Danio rerio: one gene and its partners. The protein of the gene in region 3 binds, or shares a complex with, the protein of the main gene of each other region. Links are inferred from orthologs where the notes say so. Each region holds a gene or a part of one and is shown on either strand. Other genes may lie near its edges. The genes, in order: gemin2, prpf31, snrpe, snw1, smx5, plrg1 and snrpd1.

Region 1 (4,016 bases), on a different chromosome or scaffold from region 3:
AGATTTAATTTAAGCCCAATAATAAATAAAGTCCTACCATGACAACATTATCATCCAAAAACTGAGCTTTCCAATGCTGACGATGCTTGTTCACACTCTGAAACAAGAAATATATGGATGAAACAAATTACAAAAACAAATTCTAAAAAGTCTAAAAGTACTTAAAGGGATAGTTCAACCAAAAAGAACATTTACTCTGTATTTACTCCCCCTCAAGTGGTTATCAACCTTTATGAATTTCTTTCCTCTGTTGAGAGGCATTTTGAAGAGTGTTGAAAACCTGTAACCACTGACTTCCATATTAGGAAAAAGAAATACTGTAGTAACAACAAATTCTAAATACTACTACTAAGTCAATAGTTACAGGTTTTCAGCTTTCTTCAAAATAAAGGGTGAGTAAATGATGACAGAATGAAATATTAAATGAAAGTTGTCATCATTTACTCATCCTTTATTTTGAACAAAGCTGAAAACCTGTAAAACCTGTTTTTTTTTTCATCTGCTAAACACAAAAGAATCTATTCTGAAAAATGTTGGAAAGCAGTAACCATTGACTTCCATAATATTTGTTTTTTTTTACTATGGAAGTCAGGTTTCTAACATTCTTTATAATATCTTCTTTTGTGCTCAACAGGAGCTGAGCCGAAAGGCAAAGCTTTCGATTTACCGGTCAATCTACGTTCCTACTCTCACCTATGGTCATGAGCTTTGGGTCATGACAGAAAGGACAAGATCACGGTTACAAGTGGCCGAAATGAGTTTCCTTCGAAGGGTGGCAGGGCGCACTCTTATGGATAGGGTTAGGAGCTCTGTCACCCGGGAGGAGCTCTGAGTAGAGCCGCTGCTCCTCCACATCGAGAGAACTCAGCTGAGGTGGTTCAGGCATCTGTTTGGGATGACTCCTGGACGCCTACCTAGGGAGGTGTTCCAGGCATGTCCCACCAGGAGGATGCCTCATGGAAGACCCATGACACGCTAGAGGGACTATGTCTCTTGGCTGGCCTTGGAACGCCTCGGGATCCCCCCCGGAGGAGCTGGAGGAACTGTCTCGGGAGAGGGAAATCTGGGGTTGTCTCCTAAGACTGCTGCTCCAGCGACCCGGCCCGGAAAAGCGGCAGAAAATGAATGAATGGATTTGCTCAACAGAAAAAATAAACTTGAAAAAATTTGGAACCACTTGAATAATAGTAACATTCATAAATAATGAGTAAATATTCATTTTTTGTGTGTGAACTATCCCTTTAAAGAAACTAATGTGGTTAATATTGAACACCTGTCTGACTTCTGAAAATCTGCTGACTTGTTGCTGCTGCCATTTAAAGCTGGGTGAAAAACCCTCAGGTGCAGCAAGACAACCTGTGATCTGAGGCAAAAATAATGGCACAGTTATTTTACACATTACAGAATTTATAACAGATTATTCAGTTCACTTTTCCCACTTACAGACACATTCACTGACTGTTTCTTCAGCTTCTTTGGATCAATTTGTGCCACAACAACATCTGGACACAGAGATGCTTCCCTCCTGTAAAATATACAGTAGTCGATATTTAAACAGGGTCTTTTTATTAAAGTTGCCCGAAAACCATTGAACAACACCCACTCTTGTCTTAGAACAATTTCGAAAAGCGTTTTCAATCCACTTGTAAAATGCTGACTACTATAATGTTCATCGAACAAGAGTCAAAGTCAAGCATAGTTTCATCAACAAGAAAAAGCTAATACAGCTTTAAAGTAGTTTTGTTTTTCCTGTTGCATTAGAATGTGTAAAATAACATTTTTTACAAACAATATTTACAATAGTTATTCTGTGTAATAGTAATTTATTAGCCAAAAGCATTAAAGTGTAGCCCCAAATCATATTTTGTTAGTGCCACTGTCCTTCGGATCACTAGTTTTACCAATTTGATCAATTAGTTCAACGTGCTAAGCATTGGGTAACAAACTATGAGGTTCTAGGTATGAAACCAGCATAGAGCCACAATCTTGACGGGCGGCACGGTGGCTTAGTGGTAACCACTGTCACCTTACAGCAAGAAGGTCACTGGTTCGAGTCCTGGCTGGGCCATAAGGCATTTCTGCGTGGAGCTTTAATGTTCTCCCCGTGTTGGTGTGGGTTTCCTCTAGGTGCTCTGATTTCCCCCACAGCGCTCTCTCTGTGAGTGTGTGTGTGTGTGTGTGTGTGTGTGTGTGTGTGTGTGTGTGTGTGTGTGTGTGTGTGTGTGTTTTTAGCTGGTCATCTCCCAGCCTGCCCAGCTAAGACCAGGCTGGAAATGACTGGAAACCAGCCTGCAAATGGCCATAACCCCTCTCAAACAAGCCTGGTCAACCAGCTAAAACCAGCCAACCAGCCTAGGCTGGTTTAAGCTGTTTTTTTTTTCCAGTAGGGTTTAACAACATAAGTACTGTTTAATTGACTGAATAATGTTGTACTTTAGTAGTCATTGGCAGCTAATATGATCTCCTTCTTTACAATTTGCAAATAATACTTTTCTAAAACTGTATTATTGATGAGAATGTCTGAATGTGCGAATATTAAACCAACTTTACCTCAATAGCCGAAAGACTTACTGGACAAATCTGAGATATTCCTGAGGGTTTCTAGGCGGCTCGGTAAGAGTATATTCCTCTGTGTCGCAGGAATCCACTGGCAGGAGTCTGGGCATCAACTCCTCGGCGTCTGACTTCATCTCTTTGCCTTATTTTTTATGCACGACCATCAAAATAAATCAACATGCTCACTATTACGTGCATGTCAACCTCTCCATTTTGAAAACATTGGACACGAGGATGACGATCAATAGACGCGACGGTTCTTTTATTCACTCGCTTACAGATGGAAAGATGTGTAGCGACATCTGTTGTTTAGGAGAAATGTGAAGGGTAACAACATAAAATGGTGGAGAAATATTGTACAAGTAGAATATTTTTTATTTACTCCCCAATAAGGTTAAATAAAAAGGAAAAATTATCAAATAAGAGCTGTGTTTTTTGAAAACTCTACCCCTTCTGCTATCTCACATTGAAACGGTCTTTTTGATTATTTAAACTGGGGAAATATATGGTCCATACATCAAGTTTTTCCTTACTAAAAAGGTAAAGGAAATATCTTTTAAATTATTACATAACATTTATCCTATCAAAAATGTCTTAAAGAAAAGATTTGGATCATACTTTGATACAAATATCTCCTTTTGTCAGATTAACGCTGAAACTCCTCGCTTATTTTGGTCATGCAATTGTCCAAATATTACTTTACAGCATTTTTCTGTGACTACAAAAGTCATTTTTGGTGTTTTTTATAACAAAGTTTAATGTCTACTTTAAAATAAACCTTTTTCTTTATGCAGATTTTATGTTCATAAATGTATATTGTCAATGTCAAGTTGCAAGCTAACATTTCTAGCATTTACAAGAGATTAAAAATTACTTACAGTTCCAGATTCACTTAACAAGAAAGTACTCAAAGCATACCATTTGCACGACCTTTATAATCAATTAAATCTCTAAATTGCTGCTTCTTATTTTGCCCTCTTCACTTTCAATTTTTTTTAAATCTATATATCTACCCTCAGATCAGATGGCCTATTGATATTTCTTTGTTTTTTGTTTGATTTCTGTTGGTTGTTCCTCTTTCTTTTTTCTTCTTTTTCATTCTTTATTGGCACCATTGTAAATAATCTAATGATTATTATTGTAAATGATGTGCACCAAATGTATCTTTCTGTAATACAGTAAATGTATTTAAAAAAGATAAAGAAAATATTACACAGGTATCCCTGCCATCTGTTCATTAATACATTTTAAAAAGACATTTCATCAGAATGTTTTAAACCTGAAAGTCTCCTACATCTATTTTGTGCTTGTACATTTATTGACGACTTTTGGAAACTGGTTTCAGGGTTAATTTTTTACTCAGTTTATAATAAAATTATATATAATTAACTTGGATGAATGCATGATTCTTTTTTAAACTGAAAACTGGCCATGATACACTCGGTAATGCTTTGAAGTTG
Region 2 (3,378 bases), on a different chromosome or scaffold from region 3:
AATGGCATTCAAACTCACATTGTTAGCATCTAACACTGAATAAAGCACATGAGCTATACCTGAGGTGATCCATTTCTCACAGGTGAACAACAAGATTAACTGTTTCTAAAATAGAAATTTACAGTTTTGTTAGGACAAAAACTCCTTTTTTGTATAACAAATATTTCTTCTATCACGTGCCATTGCTTTTAGTTGACAAGCTGTTCAAATCAGCCTTTAGGCTTGATAGTCAGGCACACTCGCATAAATCTGGCAACCTGCGCTTGCATGGACTTGTCAGAGGAGGAGCCCAGTGAAAATGTGTTTTGATCCTGTATTGCAATACCTAGTTCAACCAATGGGTGTCAAACTTGCATACTGCACTTTTAAATGACTAAGTTTTAGAGAAAAAATAATGATGATGACAAGTGCATTAATGAGAAAAAGTAACAAAAATATATACTCTTGGAATAAGCAGAAAAAATAGGTTTTCAAACATGAGAGATCAACTTTGTTATGTTGAGATCACAAGAAAATTAAGTTGTGATCATAAGAAAACAAGTAAACTATATTGACGCATGGCCTTTAAGGACTTCAGTCGATATTGTACGCATCAATACTAAACATGATTTTTGACCATTGTTTTTCCTAATAAATCATGTTTTTTTTATTTATTGTTGTACTCCTCAATATACAACAAAAACAAGATATCTACAATTACAAAATATTGAGTTATCTGTCTTTAAAAAGAAACCTTTCATATATTAAAGAATTATTTTGATTGACTTGCATTTTTCCTGGTTCTCTCAGGTATCGTAAGATGAAAGAAAGACTGGGACTGACTGAGATCAGGAAACACGCCAACAGAATGACTTTTGCAGAGGTCAGATGAACTGCATCAGCAGCTCTCCATTAGTGTGCTTGCTTTTGAAATTCTATAGATTGATTCAGCTACTGCGGGTTATTAACGTTCTCTTTCTCTGTGTAGATTGAGGACGATGCCTATCAGGAGGATCTGGGCTTCAGTCTCGGTCAGCTGGGAAAATCTGGCAGTGGCAGAGTCAGACAAGCTCAGGTCAACGACTCCACCAAAGCCAGAATATCCAAATCTTTACAGGTACATCTGCAGCAAATACTAAGGGAAAATGAAGCTTTGAAAGCAAATTTTCTTTGCTTGGGGCATTTTCACAGATGGCTAATTTGCTTATATTTTCGCTTATATTTTCGAATCTGGTGCGTTTTTTTTAGAGATGTACCAAAATGAAAATTCTGGGCTAAAAATGAAAGCAGACATACGAAATGCTCTGGAAAACCGGAAATGCTTTGTAATAATTATTTATTATTTTATTAAATTATATAAAGTCATCTTTCAAGACTTTTTAAGTTTGACATAATTGAATTTATACGGATTTAAAAACAAAAACAAAACACAAGCCAGTAAAATAACCACATGTCCTTAATTTGAGCTGTATTGTGTTATTGAAAAGTTCCCGATAAGTGATCAATTTATTAAAGAGATATTATAAATAAAAATTATATTAAATGACTAATTAATACTGATTTTATTTATAAGCCTCTTGTGCTCGTCAGGCTGCTTTTATAAAAAAAATTAATTGAAAAAAAATGTGAAATAAATTTACCATTTATAATAAAGTCAACTATAATAATGTATTGAAAGCTATTTTGTTCTCATACATTTTAAAATAAAATATATGTCTATGATGGCAAAGCTGAAAATTCAACAGACATTACCCAACTACATTCAACATTACCCAACTACATTCAGTGTCACATGATCTTTCAGAAATCATTCAATATAATTTGCTGATTTAGAGCTAAAAAAAAACATGTATTAATAATATCAATGTTGAAAGCCATGAGACTCATTAATTGTTTGCTGAAGTCTATTTAACCGAATGTATTGTAATTCCATTACAACATTGATGCTGTAAAAGGAACATTATGAAATTGATAAGTCACATTAAGCTTTCACCAGAAGTTCATCATTGGCTGAAAAACACTAGCTCTGCATAGAGCCCATTCAATCATTATTTTAATGATTTCTTTTTTAAACAAGCCTCTCAAGGACATTAATCTGGGATAAATCCTCCTGAATCACTTGTCACCTCTGAGTCAATTTGCTGCCTTGCTCTTTTTTAACAGAATTGAATGTGTCAGCTTGATTGTTGTCATTATTTTTATCCATTATTTCTACACACGTGGTCTTACATCAGTTGTGTTGTTGCAGAGGACACTGCAGAAGCAGAGCATGACGTACGGAGGCAAGTCTACAGTGAGAGACCGATCGTCTGGAACCAGCTCCAGCGTGGCCTTCACTCCTCTACAGGTACACTGTCTCGCAGTCCAGCTGCTTTTGACTCTTTTCGTGCACGTTCTGGTTCATTGTGGCGTGCTGAATCTCAGACTGCCAGCGTTGGTTTGGTTGATTTGTTAGTAAAGCATCTGTTCTCTGTCAGGGGCTGGAGATTGTGAACCCACAGGCTGCAGAGAAGAAGGTGGCTGAAGCCAATCAGAAATATTTCTCCAACATGGCTGAGTTCCTCAAGGTCAAGCGTGAGAAGGAGGACAAGGTGTGAGGCGTCGGCGGCGGCGCATCAGACATGCAGTGACAGCCATGGATAAATTAGCAGATGAAGTGTGAATCTGTCACACACCCACTCAGATGGACTTGTGTGGGGACGGTGACATCATGAGGATTGCTGTCATGCACATTTTGTACATTTGGTTTTCTTTTTGTATTTCATCAAACAAAGGTGTTTAGTGCTGTCTATATAGAACAGAACATTGTAAATGCAAGTTTTCATTTTAAGGAATTTTTTATTTTTATTTTGACAATTACAAACAACACTGAGTGAATAAAGTTGCTCATCTAGTTGGACCAGAGTTTTTTCTTTTTTTCTTTTTAGTGCTTGTTAACTTTTTTATTTGTCCTGTAAGAAACTAATATTACATTCAAAATAATCTAAAGTGGTTGTCTCAAACTTAATTCCTGGAGGGCCGCAGCTCTGCTCAGTTATGCTCCGACCCTGATTAAACACCGCTTCTCCATCTAATGAAGGTGTTCATAACCCTTTTGAACACCTGGATTATTAGGATCAGGTTTGTCTGCAACACATCACATCTGAAGCAGTCCTGAAATGAGAAACAAATGTTGTGCGGTGCATGATTTAATAAATAATGGCAATGATTTTAAAAATAAGAGCAAATTTAAATGCCATGGTGACTTTAATACCAATTAAACAGTAATTAATAGTAATCAAAATACTGCAGCCTTATGAAGACAAATCACACACAGCGCAGTTGTAGACTGCATTGGGCGATCTGAGCTACTTTCCTTAGAGAAGACCCCCATCATTTCTTTGTGCAAATTCTATTGTT
Region 3 (4,078 bases):
GGTCTCCACAAGAACGCAAGTCCAATCTCTGCATTCTTGGAATTGAGAAACAGCCATTGAGTTGCTGCCATGTGATTGGCAGATTAGAAATTTGCCTTAACGAGCAGTTGGACAGGTGTACCTAATAAAGTGGCTTGTGAGTGTATATTGTACTGATAAAAGGAGTAAATATTATACACCGATGATGGCATATTTATAAAAATAATAATTATAATTCCCAAGTGCTGATTAGCAGAGAGATTGTTCCAGCACATTTTTAAACAAGTATTAATTACTAATTTCTTTTGTTTTTGCTATATTATTTTTAAAAGATACAAGCATTCAGCTTAAGGGTAATTAGCATTCATAAGCAATGATTATAAAGCATTCGTAATCAGGGAATCATTGGAGAACAGAGGTTTGTTCTGAAGCCAATCAAAAATGTAAATATTTCTTAAGGGGGCTAATAATATTAACTTTTGAGATTATTTTTAAAAGGTCAAAATTGCTTTACTTCCTTCCAAAGTAAAATAAATGTACATCTTCCAGAGGAAAAAAACATACATGACATATCGAGAAGATTTCCCAGTTTTCTGTTCAACAAAAAGAACTCACATTTTCACAGGAGGGCTAATAATATCGTCTTCTGCTATATTAAATAAATACTCATCACTTTATAATGAATTGCAGTTGAATATTGATTTATTGATTCAATGCATTGATTTAATTAAAGAATCCCAGTAGGGCTGGGCAATAAATTGAAGGCGATTTTTATGCGCATTTTGTCAGTTGTGAATTAGGATTTAGCTAACCTGAAAAGGTAGGATTGAGTTTTCATTTCAATTGATCAAGCAGCCCAGATTCCCAGCTCTAGTGTTATTGGTAAATCGGAGACTTTACTCACGATGATGCAACCCTCTATCCGCATGTTGACCTGTTCGTACAGCCACACCGAGATTCGGGAACGCTGCAAAGAAGCAGGAAAATTATTACCAACTGCTCATTTAGATTTTGTGCCAAGTGGTTTAAACAAAACAATTTTTAAAAAACATTGTATAAAAAAAAAAAAAAAAAAAAAAAAAAAAAATGCTGGATTGTCGGAACCCAAAATTGGGTCAAATATGGACAAAACCTTTTATCTAATGAAATTTAAATGTCACTTTTTAACCCAATGTTTGGGCGTGTCGATATTTGACCCTAAAATTATATTAAATTATATATATTAGATAATAGTTTAATTTCGAGTTTAATCATAATGGAGTAAACGGTTGGGTGAGTAAATAGTGAGTACATTTTAATCTTTAAGTAAACTGTCCCTATAAGGCTTGTGACTGTGTGAACATTTCAATATTTCAAATTTCAAAACATCCGGCCACAAGAAATGTTTTGTAACTCTAATAAAGATTAAATAATATACAGTGAAGACTCTGCAGTGTTGATTATCTGAAAACTATAATTATATTTTATCTTTACTATATTTTATTTATCTATGCTTGTAATTGATCTGTTATGTATTATTCAAGATTCACTCCTCTACAAAATTCCCCCAATCAATCCAAATATACCTGTTGAATCAAATAGGTAAAGTTGGTTTTATATTTACACATTCATTCATTTAGCACTGCAGTCTCTTTATTGTTTACCATGTTACCTTAAATATTCAGAATTAGCATGCACGTATGAGTTCTAAACAACATTAACACTATCTAATTCACTGTGAACAATGTACTTTGATAGTCATTTGCTGCTCATATGATTTCCCCATTTACAATTTGCAAAGAATACTTTTCTGTAATTATATTATTAAGGGGAAAGTCTGAATATCAGAATATAAAACCAACTTTACCTCTATTTAAATCACCAGGTGAAATAGTTTTCACATCGCAATATAGATCACAGAAATACAAAATATTGTAAAGTCAGATCTTTTCAATATCGCGCTAAATCAAGTGTACAGATATTTTTTCAACTAATTTCTCTGACTTTTCCAAAATTCTGTGGATTTCCCTGTTTTTACAAAACTTTTCCAGGCCTGCAAAATGCTGTGTCAAAATTCCATGACTTTTTCAGGTTTTCCATGACCTGTATTTTATTGAACGTGAAATTCAGAATGTGTGAATATAATTTAACAAACTTTACCTCAATGCTTACAATATTTTCATTTCTGAGAGAACTACCACTTTTGATATTTATCAAGACATCTATAAATCAGCAGGTATAACAGAATAAAGATTTTACTCTACAAAAATACAATAAACACATGAAAAAATAGACATATGTGGACAGATAAAAGCTTGTGTATGTCGCAGATTGAAAAACAAGTACTTACATTCTGTAGATACCTGAAAATAAGGTTCTGAAAGACTCGTTAAGGAAACAAATGACATATAAACACGATTCATAACCTTTTTCATTCATTTGTAACGCAGGGACACTGTTATAATCAGCTCAAACATTGCTAAAAGTATTTAGTATTCAAAATGTTAGCTAACACAACTTATATTACCTACAATAATATGCTAAACTATATTATATTATACAATAATATGTCAAAGTATATTACATTATACATATAACAGCACACATCCAACACATATCGGTACAATGGCGAGAGCTCAATGCAGCTATTTGGCCTGAAAGGATACGATGGGCTGCACCATGACCTTTTGAACCTTCTGTCCTTGTCCTCTGTACGCCATTCTTCTCAATAATATCCGGATGTTATTATAAAAAGTGACAAAATGTGATATTAAGTGTAATAGTTATTGGCGCGGCAACGAAAATCTCACGTTGGCTGCTGTTGTTTCAATGGCGGCGCAAATCCGGAAACAGAATGACGCAGATAAAATGGCGCGCTGATTCTATGTAATGCCTCCTGTGGCTTGGGGAGACACTACAGAAAGGCAGATTCACACAATTTTATATAATGCTTTATTTAAACTTTATATAATGCATACTACTATTAAAAGTTGTTAAGACGTTATGTGCAATAATAATACACCGGTTTCAAAGCAAAAAAAAAAAAAAAAACAGAAATGTGCGCACATCTAAAAATTTCAAAAGCAGGTGCTCGATCAGAAATAAACAAAGTAGCAAAAGATCAAAAGATAATCGGCATACTCCCACTTTAGCTCTCAAAAAGTCCTTTGATGACAAAAACTTTCGACCATGGTCTTTATACCGGTTTCAATCAGCATTTACCCTTAGAGTTTCATTTAAACGCTTTATTACATTAAAAAGTACAGCTATTCCATTTAATTTCTTATTAAATATACCAAGGCTCCGCTGATATTGAAATGTAATGCTATTGACGCATTAATAGATCATAGATATATGTAATAGATCACATTTGAAGCGTAGTTTTCGACGTAGTACACAAGGTGTGTGTGACGTACCGCGCAGGCTTTTGCACGGTCAGTGTGTCTGTTGTTGTTTAAAGAGACGCTCGGCGGTGAGTGATTTAGCCATTTTTATTACATTTATGATTATATTTCTGTTTATCTTTAAGAGTACACAATTCTAGTGAAAAACTGTTCATTTTAATACGACTTAACTGTATGTAAGCTGAGCTTTTGTAACGTAATGTGGCATGGCTATTAGCTAGCCTAGCTTATCTTGTTGTCAACATTGGCAATTATATTACTTAGCTCGATCTACATTTACTTAAGGGAGAAGAAAATAAGGTTAAAAATATTGAATTGACTAATTGTATATGTATATGTTGTTTTAGTTTCGCGTTAAACTCTATAGTTTATTGTTTAGTAGTTGTTTCTCAATAGCTCAGCACAATCCATTATCTGTAGTGACTCTTAAATATTTGTATTATTTAAAATATTGGAATATATTTGTTACCAACTTAGTATATTTCTCTCTTGTTTCGTTTGTGTATTTGATATATTATGTATTTATAATCTGTATAAATAATATATATTTTTTTAAATTGTCATTGAAAATCTGATGTTTTCTTTGTTTATTTTGTAAGTTATACTTTGTCCATCAAGAGGACATTTTCTGCGTACTCTGTGTACGTCTGTGTACTCACTTCAGCAAGTTCTGACACAATAAAAATAATTAAAAAAACAAACATGCTAGGAATTGC
Region 4 (3,500 bases), on a different chromosome or scaffold from region 3:
AAAAAATGCATGCACCTCTTATCGGGGGCGGCTCTGGAGATGTTCCTGTCATGCTGCCTATCTTTCCTCCTATCGTGACGAATCTCATCACGCTCCCTGACTTCGGAGTCTTCACCACCTGAGACAAAACCAGACACATAAATGGTGATGTGACAGCATTATGAAGGTCTAGCACAAGGATCAGTTTAAAACCAAGGTTGATCTCAGCTTCAATGACTATTTCATGGCTTATTTCATATTTATACATGACTTATTTATAAAACAAAACAACAAAAATCCATTAACCACAATAAATAACATACAAAATTTTTTAACAGTTTTTTTAAGATCAACATTTGCCAAAACTGTAAAGGATTCAAGTACTGGTCTAAATACTATTATTTTCAGCTTAGAAGCTTTGGTAATAATGAATATCAAATATTCGAAGCTTCAGAAGGTGGGGTAAACATTTTTTTTCTCTAATAAAGGCAATAAACCCTGTCTGTCTGGGGTTTTTTTTTAACGTCGAGAACTGTAATTCCAATCAACTTCATGTGTAGTGGGTGTGTACATTTGGACCTAAATACTTGTTTATACTTCTGTGTTGAACAGGGCCGGATTAACAAATAGGCATTAAGCGATTCACGTCCATCACCGTTTGATTGACAGAGACAACATCACTAAAGAGCACAATAGATAGCAGCGTCAGTGGCGTAGCTCGTAAAGCGCATGGCAACATGTTTTGACGTGATCGATCCTGAACCGAATCCTTCGAATCCAGCATCTAATAAACTCTTCTTTTTTCCCCACTACATATCCGATTTTGCCTACTCCTCATCTCGAGGAAGGCAAGTAGGAATGATTAATAAGTGTGTGTATTATGGAGTATTTTTTTTTATTCTGCTTTAAATGCTTTAAAAATAAGTAAAATCTTTGTAGACTAGAAATATATGTACTGTACATCATTTATTTAAAAAAATTGATCTTAATTTTTAATTCAACTACAGGGGTGTGGCTAGGTAGGGGGCCTACAAGATATTGTGCCCAGGGACCTCTGAATTCTTGATCCGGGTCTGGTGTTGAGTGATCGTTGTGACCCACGGCACAAGCCTTGCGCGCAGCCGTGCATTTATACTTTTGCGCGCGGATAACATCAATATCAGTGATACAGCACAAACATTTAATATCAAAGAGGTTTAGCATGTATTAATTAGATTTTAAACCTTACCATTTGGTCAGAATCCAGTAAGTGCGCTATTCTGTGCTCCTGAATGGTTGTGTTTTAATTTCTGTTGCGTTTCGTCTGGTGCAAACAGCCAAATTGCTTATAACTGCAAATTTTGTCACGTAGCATGTTATATAGGGTATTATATAGGATATAGGGTTGCAATGTAACCTGTTCAACTAATGTTTACATTCGTAATATTTATATTATTTGCTAATTAATAACCTTATGTGGAACTCTTATGTGGAGTCTGTTACTGCTCACCGGAGGTCGCATTTCAGTCAGGAATGCATACTTCGAGAGCCTTCCTGACTTAATAAATAAAATATGCAGTTTTTCACCATGTCAACCCAGGGTGCAAAAATGTAAATGACTAAACTTTTATTGGACGGGCTAAAAGAACCAAAACCAAGATGGCCATTCCAGCACGGAAAGCACATTTTTTTTAGATATCTGCAAACGTATTATGGTAGTTTTATGCTTTAGAAGAGTCAAAAACTTTTATAAAGCACCTTTAAGCGTAAATGATTAATAAAAATGTAGCTGACAATTTAAACATTGACTATCATGAATAAATACCACTTTCAGAAAATGCTGTTTGTAGTGTAAAAGGTAAAATTGAATACTGAAAATATTTATTTAACAATTTGAATGTCATTTTACAATATTAAAACTTGCAACCTTAAGGTTTAAATGATGACACCTGTGTGATCTCTAACTGTTTCTGAATAATACTTAAAAGACATTCCCAATTCACTTTTTAAAACCTAGCCACAATGTTAGCATGGACTTGACATTAAATGAGTCTTTTGGTACCTTTATCACCGTGGGGTTTGATACCAGCTCTCCTGTCTCTGGCCATCTTAGCCAGCTCTCTCAGCTTCTCCTCTTTCTTTTCTTTTTCCTTCTGGGCCATCTTCTTTTCCACTTGAGCTCTCATCTCCACAGCCTCTCTGGCCTATTCAAAAATCACATAACCAACATTACCAAACTCAGCCTTGTGCATACATCAGGTGAAAGTAAAACCCTGTGAAGCTCTACAAAGATTGTTTAATTAGGAACGGTTTGCATTATAAAAAGTCTGCATTCCAGACCATAAATTGCTTTCCAAATTTATTAAAAAGACGCAAAATACTTTCACAGACTACATCTTGAGACAGATCAGTGGTTCAGACATTCTTCAGTCTTTTAGAATACTTTTCTACTTGTAAAAGTTAGTAAACTTAGCAATGTCTGTCAAAGTGTTAAGGGATGCGTAAACAAGAAGCGTACCTTTCTGTCTGCTATGTACAAAGCCTCTGCCAGTTTGGCAAAGTTTTCATTGATGTGGACGGTCTGGAGGCCTCGTCCGTCAGCCGCCAAACGCTTGTCTAGAGGAATGGTGTAACCCTGAGAAGTAACAAACGAGAGATGTGAGAAAGCAATGTGGGTTGTTTTCATGGTCAATATTTCGAACCGACAACAGACAGCTGAATAATTAATGAAGATTCGCCGGTACCTTTGCGTTCTTCCAGTTGGAAATACAAGGAGGAATCTTCCATTCCTGCTGTTCTTTCACTGTCATCTAAAAAAACACACACAAAAAAGAAAAACAATGATGTTTTGAGGTCTGTTGGGATATTCTCAGAAATACTTCAAGACAGGCTTGTATGAATTCGGAGTGTAAACAAAGCTGATGACTGTCGATGTTTGGGATCGATATTTGGAGGAAGCAAAACTCCCACCTTTCTGCTTGGAGAGTGCATGACTGGAGCAGGAGGGGAAGGAGGTCCACGAGGAATTTTCTTATTGATTCTGTAAGAAAACACACACACAAAAAAACACAGAGTTTCTTGAGAGTTTCCCTTATAGATCAAACTTACTTAAAAATTGTGGATGAAAACAACATACTTGAATCGAGGGGGTTCCATTGGATCTTTCTGCATTTCCACCATACGGATGACCCTCTGTTTTGCTCCAGAGTTAAATGCGAGACCTTGCTGAGAGGGTGTGTACCTTTAAGAAATATTAAAACAATTTGTTTTGACAAAACATTTTTGGAACTCAAACAACTAAAATACAGATTTGTTAACATCTTGGAGCGCAAAGACATCTACAGTGCATATGGAAAGTATTCATAGCGCTTCACTTTTTCCAAAATTTTTATGTTACAGCCTTATTCCAAAATGGATTAAATTAATTTATTTCCTCAAAATTCTACAGACAGTACTCCATAATGACAATGTGAATTTATTTGAAAATTTTTTTGAAATAAAAAAAAAAAAAAAACTGAAAAATCACATGCACATCAGTATTA
Region 5 (3,965 bases), on a different chromosome or scaffold from region 3:
ATCTTTTTTTGCAAATAAACTTTTCATATATTATATCATGTTCCTTCTGTATAACCTGTCAGAAGTTTTTAATTATTAAATGTGCGTTTCTCATGTTGTCACTTTTACATGTTTAGGCATACAGTACATCTTTCTTTTTCATTAACAGTACAGTGCATCTGCAGATCAACTACTGGCATTTGAAACAGCATCGGAATCGCCACTCATTTATTCATTCATTGTCTTTTCGGCTTAGTCCCTTTTGTAGGACTTATTGTAGGACTTATTGTTATGTTGTTTGTTTCAGTGACAAACATTTAGCATCAAAGTATTTTACAATATTTTAAACTACAAAAATAAAAGACATTAATGTATTTTTAATACAAAACATTAAGCCATTTCCATCAACCCTATCATAAATACTGCCCATCCCTGCTTATATTCATTCTAGGTAATTTTCAGAATGCTTGCTTTTAAAAACAGGAGAATGCATATTAAAGCATAATGTTATAAGAAGGCTCTATATGTTTAGGAACATTTATCTTTAAATTATAGAGAATCCAAAATCCATTTTTATTTTCAGAAATGTTGAAAACTTGTAAGCACTGACATTCATAGTATTTGTTTGTCATACTATTAAAGTCAATGGTTACAGGTTCCCAACGTTCTTCAAAATATGGAAAGATCAAGATGGTTTTAAACAAGTAAATTGATTAAATTGGCTGAATTTACATTTTTTGGATGCACATAAATACATAATCGTGAAAAACATTATAATCATTAGCATGTCGTGGAGGTTTTGTTTTGTTTTACAATATAGCGTTTTGTAAGTGGACTGCTTTTTTGTTTTATAAATGGGGATAACGCAGAGGATTAACCTGAGCCCTGGACTGTGCTTTATTATTATTTGTCTCCATCTGCTGACGAAAGAGGGAATTGCCAGAAAAGAGGAGCCATGTACGTGTATCAGCAAGCTCTGTGTCAGACATGTCATGTACCTCTTCGGGCATAAAGTTGACTGTTTTAAGAAAATATTTCACATCCATTGAACATGCGCCTTTTAATCTCTTTTGTGTGATGAACGATTGCGGAATAATTTACTGAGATGAGTACAAATGACGCAAAAACAGAACAAAACGCCAACAATTTCGCGACCAATGGGATTTTTACGTCTTCATTCTTCTAGCCAATAGAAGCACAGAGTGAAAGACCCGGCAGCTTTTTGATGACGTATGTGATCTAAAGCACAAAGCCGCGTGAAAATGGTAAGTGTTGTTATTTAGCAATATCATACAGTAATTTACGTTTAAGGAATTAATAAACGTGCTACGACCATTTGTTTAACATATTTAGGTTTTTTTGACCACTGTGTTCGCGAGAAAGACAAACAATGCTTCATGCTAACAGCTAACGCTAGCTTTCTTCATAGCCAAATAAAACAACATTCTCAAGCAAGGATTATCCCCTTAATTAAATGCCCAACAGAAACAACTCTGGCTGACTCCTATTATATTAAAGTCTTGGTATTTCATTTGCCTGCGTAATTTAGAAAGCAGTGTTATTTGCTGTTGACATTTCTCATTTGGTCTGTTGATAAAACTTGATTCAATCGTTTTATCGATGTCTTATTTGCTGTCCGCCTCATATTTTGAGAGTAATTCCTTCAAATGTTTATTCTCAGCTCTTCTACTCGTTTTTCAAGTCTTTGGTTGGCAAAGATGTTGTGGTGGAGCTCAAGAATGACTTGAGGTGAGTGCTCACCTTTCTTTTACAAATATTATATATATAATTAGAAATTGAATATACATATTTTATAATGTATGTGCCAGCTCGTAAAACTATGAACACATCTATTTTGCAGCATATGTGGAACATTACATTCAGTTGATCAGGTACGGAAACTGACTCCACACGTTTATTAATATAAACAAATATTGGGCGATTTAGGATTAAGTTAATCTTGTCATTTGTTCTTCCCTCACAGTACCTGAACATCAAACTGACAGATATCAGTGTTACTGATCCAGAGAAATATCCGCACATGGTGAGAAATGGATGAAATGAAAATTACACTCATAATCTTGGGTCTAATATCTTTATCAATGTCATGGAATTTTAAAAGGTTCATTTCAGACATTGAAATTTAGGAAATGTTGATATATTTTTGTCAGATTCATGGAATAACAGGGATTTTTTGTTTGTTACTTTACATTTTAGCTTTTCTTTATTAAAATATATTTGATATTTACAGCCATGCAAACCGCAAGTATTTTTTTTTTATATTAAGTAAATTATCATTTGTTGTTCTCATAGTGGCTATTAAATGAATGTAATAAAATGGCTAAAACCATTTCAATATATTTTTAATTTAATATTACAATTTTTTATAAGCACTACAGAAGCCTGTTATGTTCATGTCATGGTTGATATATTGGTTTATGGTAAAAGTACAGAAATTAATACTATGAAAAATCTGAAAATAGCAAGTGTAGGACCAATTTATTTTAAAGAATATTCAAAATAAAATTTTTTTTTGAATACTAAGTCATCTTTATTTTTTGAAATATGCAATAAAATATTTTCAGATTCTCATATAACATTGCTTTGGTTTTATTGTCAAAAAAACTAACTAGAAAGCAAGTGTAGAATTGCAACAGGATTTTTTTTTGTAAACCAACAATGCTGTGTAGTGAAAACCATTATTTAAAACGGTGAAAATACGGTCAACCATTTGATAGAGCAGGCAGCTAAAGGGTTAAAGAGGGAACCCTGATAATTGAATTGATTCCTAAATTAATGTAGATCAGGTTATTAAGTCTGTGATTTATGAATTGTCATAGTGATGTAGGTGCTCAACAAGGAGAACTTTGGTGTATATAGATGACTCTAATATTGTTTTGTTGTAGTTGTCTGTGAAGAACTGCTTCATTCGTGGATCAGTGGTGCGATACGTTCAGCTTCCTGCAGATGAAGTGGACACACAGCTACTACAGGATGCTGCACGCAAAGAAGCTACACAACAGAAACAATAATGTTTATATTTGAGAATAGTTTGGTTTTGTTCCAATGTTCAGAAGCATCATCTGTGGAGTTTTGTTGATTTAAATGTTTTTCTTACCTAAAACATGTAAAGTTTTTTTTTTCTCTTTCATTTTTACGTCATGTGAAGCCTGTTATTGAGGGTGTGATTTACTGTTTTTTTTTTTTTACTTCACAAGTTAGTGGTTGTGTGCTTTTAATGAGTGTTGGTAAAGTTCTGTACTGCATACCAATGACTTTTAGTTAGGTTCACACATTGATGCAAAAATAAAGTATTTTCCTCTGTTTTCACACTTTCCTTTTGGTGGAAAAAATCGTCCATTGTTGGAGTTCAGCTGACAGCATTTTACAAATTATGTTCGTGGAATGCTGGTGTTTTGGTTTAGGCAGGCATGTCCAAACTCGGTCCTGTAGGGCTGGTGTCCTGCAAAGTTTAGTTCCATACCCAATCAGACACACCAGGGCTAGCTAATCAAGCTCTTACTAAAAACATAATTGCAGATGTGTTGAGGCAGGTTGGAGCTAAAATCTCCAGGACACCGGCCCTCCAAGATTGAGTTTGGACACCCTTGGGTTAAGGTGAATGGATAGTTTAGCAGAGGTGTCAAACTCAATTCCTGGAGTGCTGCAGCCCTGCACAGTTCAGTTCCAAGTGTATTGGAGCAGGGTTGGGTTTCAAAGAAGCCCGAAAGATTTAATTACTTTAATCTGGTTGTGCTTACTTAAACTGAACTAAACAGTGCAGAGCTGCAGCCCCCCCAGGAACTGAATTTGACACCTGTAGTTTACAGCCTAGTCCCAAACAAAAAAGTAAGTTGTTTAGAGTAAAAGAAACTCGTAGTTACTGTTCCTAAAATATACCAGTGCCTTTGTTTTGTGTTTTTTAGGCACTTTTATGCGCTAATAAAGTAATCATGGCTTTATCAAAGCGAATGTAGACCACACTA
Region 6 (4,088 bases), on a different chromosome or scaffold from region 3:
ACTTTGCTGTCAATGGAGGATAAGGGAGCTCTTAGATTCATACATATCTTAATTTGAGTTCTGAAGATGAACTATTATCTTGAGGGTTTGGAATGACATCAGGGTAAGTTATTAATAACAGAATTTTCATTTTTGAGTAAACCAATCCTTTAATGATATTATTGCAAATATGCCATGTTGATGGCAGCTATCAAGGTTTAGATAGCTATCATCTTAATATACATCAATTAAACAGTAATAAACATTTCTTTTTGTAGTTCAATAATGTATGGTATGGTAAGGACACACAATAAAAAACGACACAGAAAATATTATATTTACCTCATATTTTGATATCTTGTGAGTAAGGTATCAAGGCGGCCCAGTCAGTCAGTTTACATAGGACTACTAATTTTGTTTTCATACAAAGTAGTTTTTTTAGCTTTAATAAACTATCATAATAAAAGCTATTTTAATTCCGGTAAGGACCATGTAAATGTGTGGGATGGCCGCATTTAGTTACAATAAAAAATCATAAACAATATTAGCCTATATAATAATAATAAACTTGAAGAAAGAAATGTTAAATAAGCTGATGAAAATCAAATAATATAAATTTTTAGTAAAATGTTCTTATTTTTTAAAACAAATTGTGACCAGAGTTATGGAACATGAACAAAAATATGTTTGGAGGTATTTTCATAAGTTTAGGCTATATAAAATCACTTAAATATTATTATATATAAACAAACATTTTTTTCAAGGTCTGTAATATTTATAAAGCATCATATACCAAATTTTAACATATATCTAAAAATATGTAAATAAAAAAAACACTTTCTCTTGGCAAAAAAGTATATTATTTTATAGTGCCACCTTGTGGATTCTCACTAGTAGGTCTTTTACTACATCCTAAATTTTCAAAACTAGCAGATGAAATAAATTAAATTGGCTGCCTGACCTTTTTACATTATTTATTTATTTATTTATTTATTTATTTATTTATTTATTTATTTATTTATTTATTTATTTATCTATCTATCTATTTATTTATTTATTTATTGGTTTGTTTGTTTAGAACCCATAAGCAGTCATTAACTTTAGTGTTTAATGTGGTCTTCCCAAAGTTGTTGGCAGCCAAATACATCGATACTGTAAATGTTGTGTTTATTGTAAATGGCCATAAGTTGACTTTTTGGTGATAAAAAAATAAAAATAAAATACGAAAAAAAAAAGACTTTTAATGGACTGTCGTGTCTTGCTGACGTAACACCCTACCGGAAAACGCTTTGTCGCGCCCGGAAGCTGTGCGTACGTTTGCACTACTGGTTCGGGTTGTGATTGTTCGGTGTGTTGGGAAGTTTCTTTATTTGCGTTAGTTCGTCGTGTTTTAAAGGACCCCCAAACATGACCGAGGTAAGGCTGTGCTGTTGTTGCATTAGCCGTTGTTCATTTGAAAATGATATCTGTTTAGTTTTTCTGTAATTGAACGCGGCGTAACGTTACTGTATTACCACACGTGTGGTCATTTGGATCTGCATATACGTCTTATAATATCCAATCAATTAATCGATGTTGATATTTTGTCTTTTTTATACACACAGGACGTGCAGAAGCACTCAGTCCACACGCTTGTGTTTCGCTCTTTGAAACGGACTCATGATATGTTTGTGGCGGATCATGCCAAACCTATAGCGCAGGACGAGCAGAGGTAAATAATCAAACTTTTTGCTCTCAGTATTGTATGGCAACGTTGATTAAAAATTAAAATCGATATAGACCTTTCACTCACCCTCAGATGGTTCCAAACCTTAATACGTTTCTATTTAATTGAGATATGTTGAAGAATCTTGGAAACCGGTTGCCATTGACATTCATAGTAGGGAAAATATTATAAGCGTCACATTGAGGTGAAGCTGGTTTTGTATTCGCTCATTCGGACTTTCTCCTTAATAATATAATTTTTGTTAAAGTAATCTTTGCAAATTTTAAATGGGAAAACCATATTAGCAGCCACGACTATCAAAATACAGTATTGTTCACAGTCAAATAAATGGTGCTAATGTTGTTTTGAAGTCATATTTATATGTGATTTCAGACTGAATGATCAAAGTACCTAGGTAAACAATATAGGGAGCATGTCACAAGTTATCACTGAAAGAATGTACGGATATAAAACCAACTTTTCCTCAATGGACATCATTGGCTACCGGCTTCCAAGATTCTTCAAAATGTCTTATTTTGTGTTCAACTAAAAAAAAATCTGACAAGTTTGGATCAATTGGGAGGGTGAATCATTTTTAATTTTTGAGCAAACTGGCTTTTCAAGCAGAAAAGACATTTTGAATGGTGGTGGTGATTTATAAACTCGTGTTACAGGGTTTGTTAAAGCCATGTTTTTTTACAATAACATTTTACAGCATTTGACAGGCTGTTCATCACCACTGTGAAGATCCTACTCAATGCTTGTTTTACAAGATTTCCTTATCTGCAAAACAAATTTCATTGGACTGTCCTGCTTTTAAAGGGGTGGTCCAGAGTGTATTTTTAAGCCTTGTTGTGTTTATAAGATGCAAAGCAATGTGTGCTCATGTTTAATTTGTAGAACATCTTACTTTGATTATATACAACTACTCAGCTAACATGAAAACAACTGTCATTTCCTAGTTTCTTCAAAAGCCTGTCCTCAAGAGGCTCTGATTGGTCAGCTAACATAATGTGCTGTGATTCACAGATCGGCTCCACGTCACCAGGAAATGCACCTCTAATAGCATGCACTGTGCCTTTGCTTGTGTAAATACTGTCAATCAGTTTAGCTGTTAGTCATATCAGTTTGAGCCTGAATCAGAAAGAAAAAGAAAAGGACACAGCTGAACCTCACGCCCGTTCTCTAAAATAAAACCTGACAAGTGTCTTTCACATATATCCGGAATAAGCATGTGTAAGTAATATGAAACTTTCACATATCTTTTGCGAGTTTGTTGTCTGAGATGTAGAACACAGGGAAATCGACCTCATAGACACTGCAGCGTGGTAAAGATTGTGGCTGTTTACAAGGGTTTGATGGACAAATATGAATTTGTAGCCAAATTGTTAGTAGTGCCCTACAGCATTTCCCATTGTTTACATTTTTGTTTGTGTCTTTGCTTCAGCATACCGTTAATGATAGAAACTGTGCATGTAGTAGATCAATTATAACAAATATAAATATCAGTTTTGTCTATTATGGTTGCAACTTCTGCTTCTTTGGAGGAGTTTTAGCCGAATCCAACACTGAACTTGGAAACATTCTGGAAGCTGTCCTTTGTCAAATGCTAGAGCTTTATCATTTTTATCATTCTCTGGAACATAATTAAAATTAAGCTAGTTCGATTGAGTAGGCGCAGCCAATGTGACATCGTAGCGGAGTTTGCGGAGGTTTGGGTGCGTACAACATGATTTCGGGAATAGTTTTTTTTCTTTACACTCGAGCAAACAGTGTGTGCGGTGCCGCATTTGATTTGAGTTTAATATGAAACACTTTGAAGAGATTTTGTCTGGAACAGGTACGCCTGTACAGACATCTTTTGTAGAGATAACCATTTATAGGATTTTACAGTGATGTATATATTACAATTTTGAATTTAAAACAATTTAATAGTTACAAAACTAAAATGAAGGAACAAAATATTTCTTTGATAACTGGAAAGGAATATTTAAACCCATCGGTTTACAATATACTGATGGCTTGTTTGTCTAGGCTTTATCAAATCAAATCAGGCCTTTATTTGTCACATACACTTTCGTATTGTGAAATTTGACCGTACACAAACATCACAATTTTCAGGGGAAGACAGGTCACAGGAGGTAGCATTTAGAAAGGCAAGATGCATCAGGAGGGTTAGGCAAAAAATACCCTCTAAACTTTGCTCTTGATTAGAGCAAATTGAGACGGAGAAAAACAGCCCATCTAGCACAAGAAAGCACACAGACAAGACACAACATTGACAACTGGGATGGGAACAGGGGATATGGATGTAGTGCGATGAGGGTGGGCAGCCATCTGGTCCTGCAGCCATGGAGGAGCTGGTCGCAGACCCGCCCACTCCTCTCATGGGTGAAAGCATACG
Region 7 (4,208 bases), on a different chromosome or scaffold from region 3:
AGCGCTCACTTCCGGGATTCACTTCCTGCCGCGGGGTTGCCAGATTCGTTAAATTAAATCTTTTGCTACGTGAAAAAAGTGTCTGAATTTAAAGCTGTATTATACTTATATTATCTCGAAACCCAATTAAAGCTTAAATATGACTATTATTGCTGTTTCTGTTAATTAAAGTATGTTTTTATTAATTTATTTACCTTTACTTGAGATATCGCCACGGGGTTGCCAGATATTTTAAAATTGAATCCACAACTGTGCATGAATGTTATTTTTAATAGAGAAAATATAATTACAAAGACAGAAGAAACTTTATATTATATTATAGTATATTATTTATTCATTATCTAAAATAAATAGTATTTTAGAGATTCACTGTAGTATAAAAAATACGTAAAAATTGTTTAAATTTAAAGTTGTATTATACTTTTATTATCTTAAAACGCATCTAAAACTTTAAATTTGATTATTATTGCTGTTTTGGTTAATTAAAAGTATGTTTATATTAACCTATTTACCTTTACCGTGAGATATTGTCACTGTAGGGTTGCCAGATACGTTAAAAATAAATCTATTCCTGTGGTTGTTAAATGCAGCTTTTTTTTTAAACTGGGAAAATATAAATAGAGTAAAGACAGAATAAAGCTTTCATTATATTATAGTATCTTATTTATTCATTATCTACAATAAACAGTATTTTGGAGCTTCACTTTGATATGAAAATGACACTACATGAAAAATTGTCTAAATTTAAAGCTGTATTATACTTTTATTATCTTAAAACACAAGTAAAGCCTTAAATATGGGTATTATTGCTGTTTTGGTTTAATAAAAGTGTGTTTTTATTAACCTATTTACTGTATCGTCACTGTGGGGTTGCCAGATACGTTAAAACTAAATCTATTCCGGTGGATGTTGAATGCTATTTTTTTGAATTAAGAAAATATAATTACAAAGAAAAAAACAGAATAAAGTTAATATTTTATTATAGTATATTTTTATTCATAGTCTAAAATAAATCATATTTTGTAGCTGCGCTGTGATATGGAAAAGATTTAAACATTTATGAAAAAAAAGTGTCAAAATTTAAATCTGTATTATACTTTTATTATCTTAAAACGCAATTGAAGCCTTAAATATGATTAATATTGCTGTTTTGGTTTTTTAAAAGAATGCTTTAAGGAAACTATTTACTGTGAGATTAAATTATTGTTGTTTTGGTTAATTAAAAGTGTATTTTTATTAACCTATGTACCATGAGATATCGAAATTGAAAAATACTTTTAAGCTATTATCATAATAAAAATTGTTGTAGCAACATTTAAAATTTTAAATTCGCTTTTGTATGTTTATAACATGCTTATAAATGAAATTACCAGCGTGTAAAAATATTCCGGTGATTTTGTTGAGTAATGGCAACCCTTCTGTCCTCAGAATTCTGTTTCCCTTTCACCCAGGAAGTGATTGTACCATCTCTCCAGTAGCGTCCTACATTCGTTTTGCGCTACAATTTTTTCTCATCTAGGTGGAGGATTTTCTCTCAAAGTCCACCGCCATCATGAAACTCGTCAGGTAATAAACATCTACAGCTGTCATACAAGTAAAATACACAAAGAAACTTTGCGGATGCGCGATGTATTTTAATAGATGGAGCCGGATTGTGTGTAGCTGCTAGTTAGCCGTTAGCTTCATCAGGCGGGAATGAATGAATGGGCGAGCGTTTGTTTGAACGTTTTACTCATTTGTTTTAAGCACATACGTGTTTTAAACTATGTAATAAGCGGGTTTAGTCTTAGATTATTAATACATTGTGCGTTTTTTGGTGGTAGTTTGATCATGCGGGGTCTTAAATGCAACAAATACATAAACAGAAACAATAACTGTTAATGCTAAGTTAGCTACATTTATTTACTAGTTTCTAAATATGCTAGCTGTATATAATCATATAATTATGTTAATAGACACTATAGTGTGTAGTTAGGAAGTCTAAAGATTATTGGATATATAGTTTATCATTTGTTTTAAATATAGTTATCAGTTTATTATCATTAGTAAGCTGTAAATACTTTATATAATCATATTGACAAAATGCTTTATATGTAGATATTAGACGTTATGTTATTATAATTGTTTATCATTGTTTTTATGATTGTGACCTGCAGGTTTTTGATGAAATTGAGCCATGAAACCGTCACGATTGAGCTGAAGAATGGCACACAGGTCCATGGCACAATTACAGGTAATTATTATTTTAAGTAATGCACCATAATCACATTTATAAACTGTCTGCTATGTGCCTGTTTCATTAAATGAGGTCATATTATGCATTTTCTCTTTGAATCTGATGCATTACATCTCATAGGTGGCCAATAAATGTGCTTATATTGAGGTGAAGTTGGTTTTATATTAGCAGGTTTAGACTTTGGCGTTCTATGAAATAGCAAAGCAGTATTTAAAAAGGTGAATACAGATTCATTATTTTTTACCACGCTGCTTTGAATATTTGATCTGAAATCACATATAAGAATGACTTCAAAACAATATTAGACCGTAAACAATATTGTGCTTTATAGTCATTTGGTGATAATATGATTCCCCTATTTAGTATTTGCAAATAATACTTTTCTGAAATTATATTAAGTCTGAATGTGTGAATATAAAAACAACTTTACCTCAATTACATCTGTCAGCTCCCGGAAAAAATGCATTTAACCTTTTAGCTGAAAATGACTTGACTTAATTGGATTGTTATGCAATACTGTGCACCTTTTATAAAGCTGCTTTGAAACACTAGTCATTGTAAAAAGCGCTATACAAATAAACTTGAATTAAAAAGACTCATTGTATATGCCCTATATTGTGCTAATAATAATAATTAGAAAACTTGTTATACTTTGTTGATGAATTAATGCCACTGAGTCAGACTCGTATTATAATAATCATGTGAGCAGAAAAACAATAGATCATGGTATTGTGTGAAAATTTACATCTTTACTTGTGGAGATTTTCAATTTTTAGACCAGTGATTCCCAAAGTGGGAGTCGGGACCTCCTGGGAGGTCGTGAGTCCTTGAGGGGGGGTTGCTTGGTGATTTCCAATATATACATATAAATAAATTATTAAAATTACCATATTTTATCCATAACCTGCAGAAGATAGTGTTTAATAGTTACATTTAAAACAAAAACATGTACATAAACAGACAGCAGCGTTTACATTATTTTTCCATTGGATTACGACTCCTTGAGTGATTACGCTAGATTAATAACACAGCAATAGTGTTAGTTGCAGCAGATTTATTTTACGGCTCAATGTTAAACTTTGACACATTTACAGCACTCCTGTACATTAAAAATAAAGGCCACGACTGAACATAGAGGACGATCTCCAAGTGGCGGTCTCCGAAATTAAATCAAGAATAGACTTGTGCTGTATATATTTCACAATTCTCATTAAGTGAGGTTAATATTAAATTAAACAAATGAATAGTGACTATAAAATGATATGGTTGATAAACTGCTGCACTTTTGTTGTGTTGTCAATAAGCTTGTTTATATAGTTGCTATTGGTTTGTGTGTGTGCATTATTGTGTACAGTGTTTGTATGCTTATTACTAGGCCCACACTTATTTTGCGCGAGCTGAATTCCGCTGATGTTTAGCCCATCATTAATTCTGTTTATTTACTTGAGTAAATGTGTGTAAATCTATATTAATTCAGTTTTTACATTTATTTCAGTAATATTATTGACTAATATGAAAATGTTCGTCTGACTTATGTACAATGCAGTTTGTACCGTAATATTTTCTGTCTTTTAGTAGAGATATTATATGAGAGACTTGCTTTGTTTACCAAATAATGTGAATCTAATTGGATTAGCATTTTAAACATTAAATAAAAATTATATAAAGATATTTTTTTTTATGTCATATATTAAGGTTTTAGTTATGATACTCCCAAAATAATTCCGCAGATCTTTACCAAAACTCTCCGCAGAAATAGCAAAAAACGCCCGCAGATTCCATCTGGCCCTACTTATAACCACCTCAGAGGATAGTGGGGTTGTGAGTTACTAAAATTGTTATTTTGGGGGTCACGAGTTAAAAAGTTTGGGAACCCCTGATATAGATCATAGCAACTTTTCATTTCTTGCTAGTTGTAATACACAATGTAACTACAGAAGAATCAAGTGAGATGCTAATGGTCTAATCTGAT

Evidence for each region.
Region 1: snrpe (region 3) and gemin2 share a complex: the UniProt entries of both Homo sapiens proteins name them as parts of the SMN-Sm complex. The link is inferred for Danio rerio from reciprocal best matches to the Homo sapiens genes SNRPE and GEMIN2.
Region 2: snrpe (region 3) and prpf31 share a complex: the UniProt entries of both Homo sapiens proteins name them as parts of the U4/U6-U5 tri-snRNP complex. The link is inferred for Danio rerio from reciprocal best matches to the Homo sapiens genes SNRPE and PRPF31.
Region 4: snrpe (region 3) and snw1 share a complex: the UniProt entries of both Homo sapiens proteins name them as parts of the minor spliceosome. The link is inferred for Danio rerio from reciprocal best matches to the Homo sapiens genes SNRPE and SNW1.
Region 5: snrpe (region 3) and smx5 share a complex: the UniProt entries of both Homo sapiens proteins name them as parts of the U4/U6-U5 tri-snRNP complex. The link is inferred for Danio rerio from reciprocal best matches to the Homo sapiens genes SNRPE and LSM2.
Region 6: snrpe (region 3) and plrg1 share a complex: the UniProt entries of both Homo sapiens proteins name them as parts of the minor spliceosome. The link is inferred for Danio rerio from reciprocal best matches to the Homo sapiens genes SNRPE and PLRG1.
Region 7: snrpe (region 3) and snrpd1 share a complex: the UniProt entries of both Homo sapiens proteins name them as parts of the SMN-Sm complex. The link is inferred for Danio rerio from reciprocal best matches to the Homo sapiens genes SNRPE and SNRPD1.

Annotation. Positions count from the first base shown.
Region 1 is NC_133192.1:14,292,630-14,296,645, reverse strand, and holds the start of gemin2 (gem-associated protein 2), read right to left. Parts: upstream 2,801-4,016; 5' UTR 2,691-2,800; coding exon 2,572-2,690; exon of another isoform or gene 2,551-2,571; intron 1,526-2,550; coding exon 1,444-1,525; intron 1,364-1,443; coding exon 1,274-1,363; intron 98-1,273; coding exon 38-97; intron 1-37. UniProt on the Homo sapiens protein: The SMN complex catalyzes the assembly of small nuclear ribonucleoproteins (snRNPs), the building blocks of the spliceosome, and thereby plays an important role in the splicing of cellular pre-mRNAs.
Region 2 is NC_133191.1:35,281,639-35,285,016, forward strand, and holds the end of prpf31 (U4/U6 small nuclear ribonucleoprotein Prp31), read left to right. Parts: intron 1-789; coding exon 790-862; intron 863-967; coding exon 968-1,096; intron 1,097-2,227; coding exon 2,228-2,326; intron 2,327-2,456; coding exon 2,457-2,576; 3' UTR 2,577-2,630; exon of another isoform or gene 2,631-2,662; 3' UTR 2,663-2,878; downstream 2,879-3,378. UniProt on the Homo sapiens protein: Involved in pre-mRNA splicing as component of the spliceosome. Required for the assembly of the U4/U5/U6 tri-snRNP complex, one of the building blocks of the spliceosome.
Region 3 is NC_133186.1:40,122,906-40,126,983, reverse strand, and holds the start of snrpe (small nuclear ribonucleoprotein E), read right to left. Parts: upstream 2,801-4,078; 5' UTR 2,679-2,800; coding exon 2,625-2,678; intron 2,336-2,624; coding exon 2,309-2,335; intron 947-2,308; coding exon 884-946; intron 1-883. UniProt on the Homo sapiens protein: Plays a role in pre-mRNA splicing as a core component of the spliceosomal U1, U2, U4 and U5 small nuclear ribonucleoproteins (snRNPs), the building blocks of the spliceosome.
Region 4 is NC_133195.1:5,542,395-5,545,894, forward strand, and holds part of snw1 (SNW domain-containing protein 1), read right to left. Parts: intron 3,200-3,500; coding exon 3,095-3,199; intron 2,999-3,094; coding exon 2,929-2,998; intron 2,769-2,928; coding exon 2,703-2,768; intron 2,594-2,702; coding exon 2,477-2,593; intron 2,163-2,476; coding exon 2,021-2,162; intron 119-2,020; coding exon 16-118; intron 1-15. UniProt on the Homo sapiens protein: Involved in pre-mRNA splicing as component of the spliceosome. As a component of the minor spliceosome, involved in the splicing of U12-type introns in pre-mRNAs.
Region 5 is NC_133181.1:30,702,745-30,706,709, forward strand, and holds smx5 (smx5), read left to right. Parts: upstream 1-1,165; 5' UTR 1,166-1,241; coding exon 1,242-1,244; intron 1,245-1,660; coding exon 1,661-1,728; intron 1,729-1,840; coding exon 1,841-1,871; intron 1,872-1,963; coding exon 1,964-2,023; intron 2,024-2,885; coding exon 2,886-3,011; 3' UTR 3,012-3,946; downstream 3,947-3,965. UniProt on the Homo sapiens protein: Plays a role in pre-mRNA splicing as component of the U4/U6-U5 tri-snRNP complex that is involved in spliceosome assembly, and as component of the precatalytic spliceosome (spliceosome B complex).
Region 6 is NC_133176.1:27,248,398-27,252,485, forward strand, and holds the start of plrg1 (pleiotropic regulator 1), read left to right. Parts: upstream 1-1,288; 5' UTR 1,289-1,386; coding exon 1,387-1,395; intron 1,396-1,583; coding exon 1,584-1,690; intron 1,691-4,088. UniProt on the Homo sapiens protein: Involved in pre-mRNA splicing as component of the spliceosome. Component of the PRP19-CDC5L complex that forms an integral part of the spliceosome and is required for activating pre-mRNA splicing.
Region 7 is NC_133194.1:2,232,850-2,237,057, forward strand, and holds the start of snrpd1 (small nuclear ribonucleoprotein Sm D1), read left to right. Parts: upstream 1-1,408; 5' UTR 1,409-1,552; coding exon 1,553-1,566; intron 1,567-2,156; coding exon 2,157-2,233; intron 2,234-4,208. UniProt on the Homo sapiens protein: Plays a role in pre-mRNA splicing as a core component of the spliceosomal U1, U2, U4 and U5 small nuclear ribonucleoproteins (snRNPs), the building blocks of the spliceosome.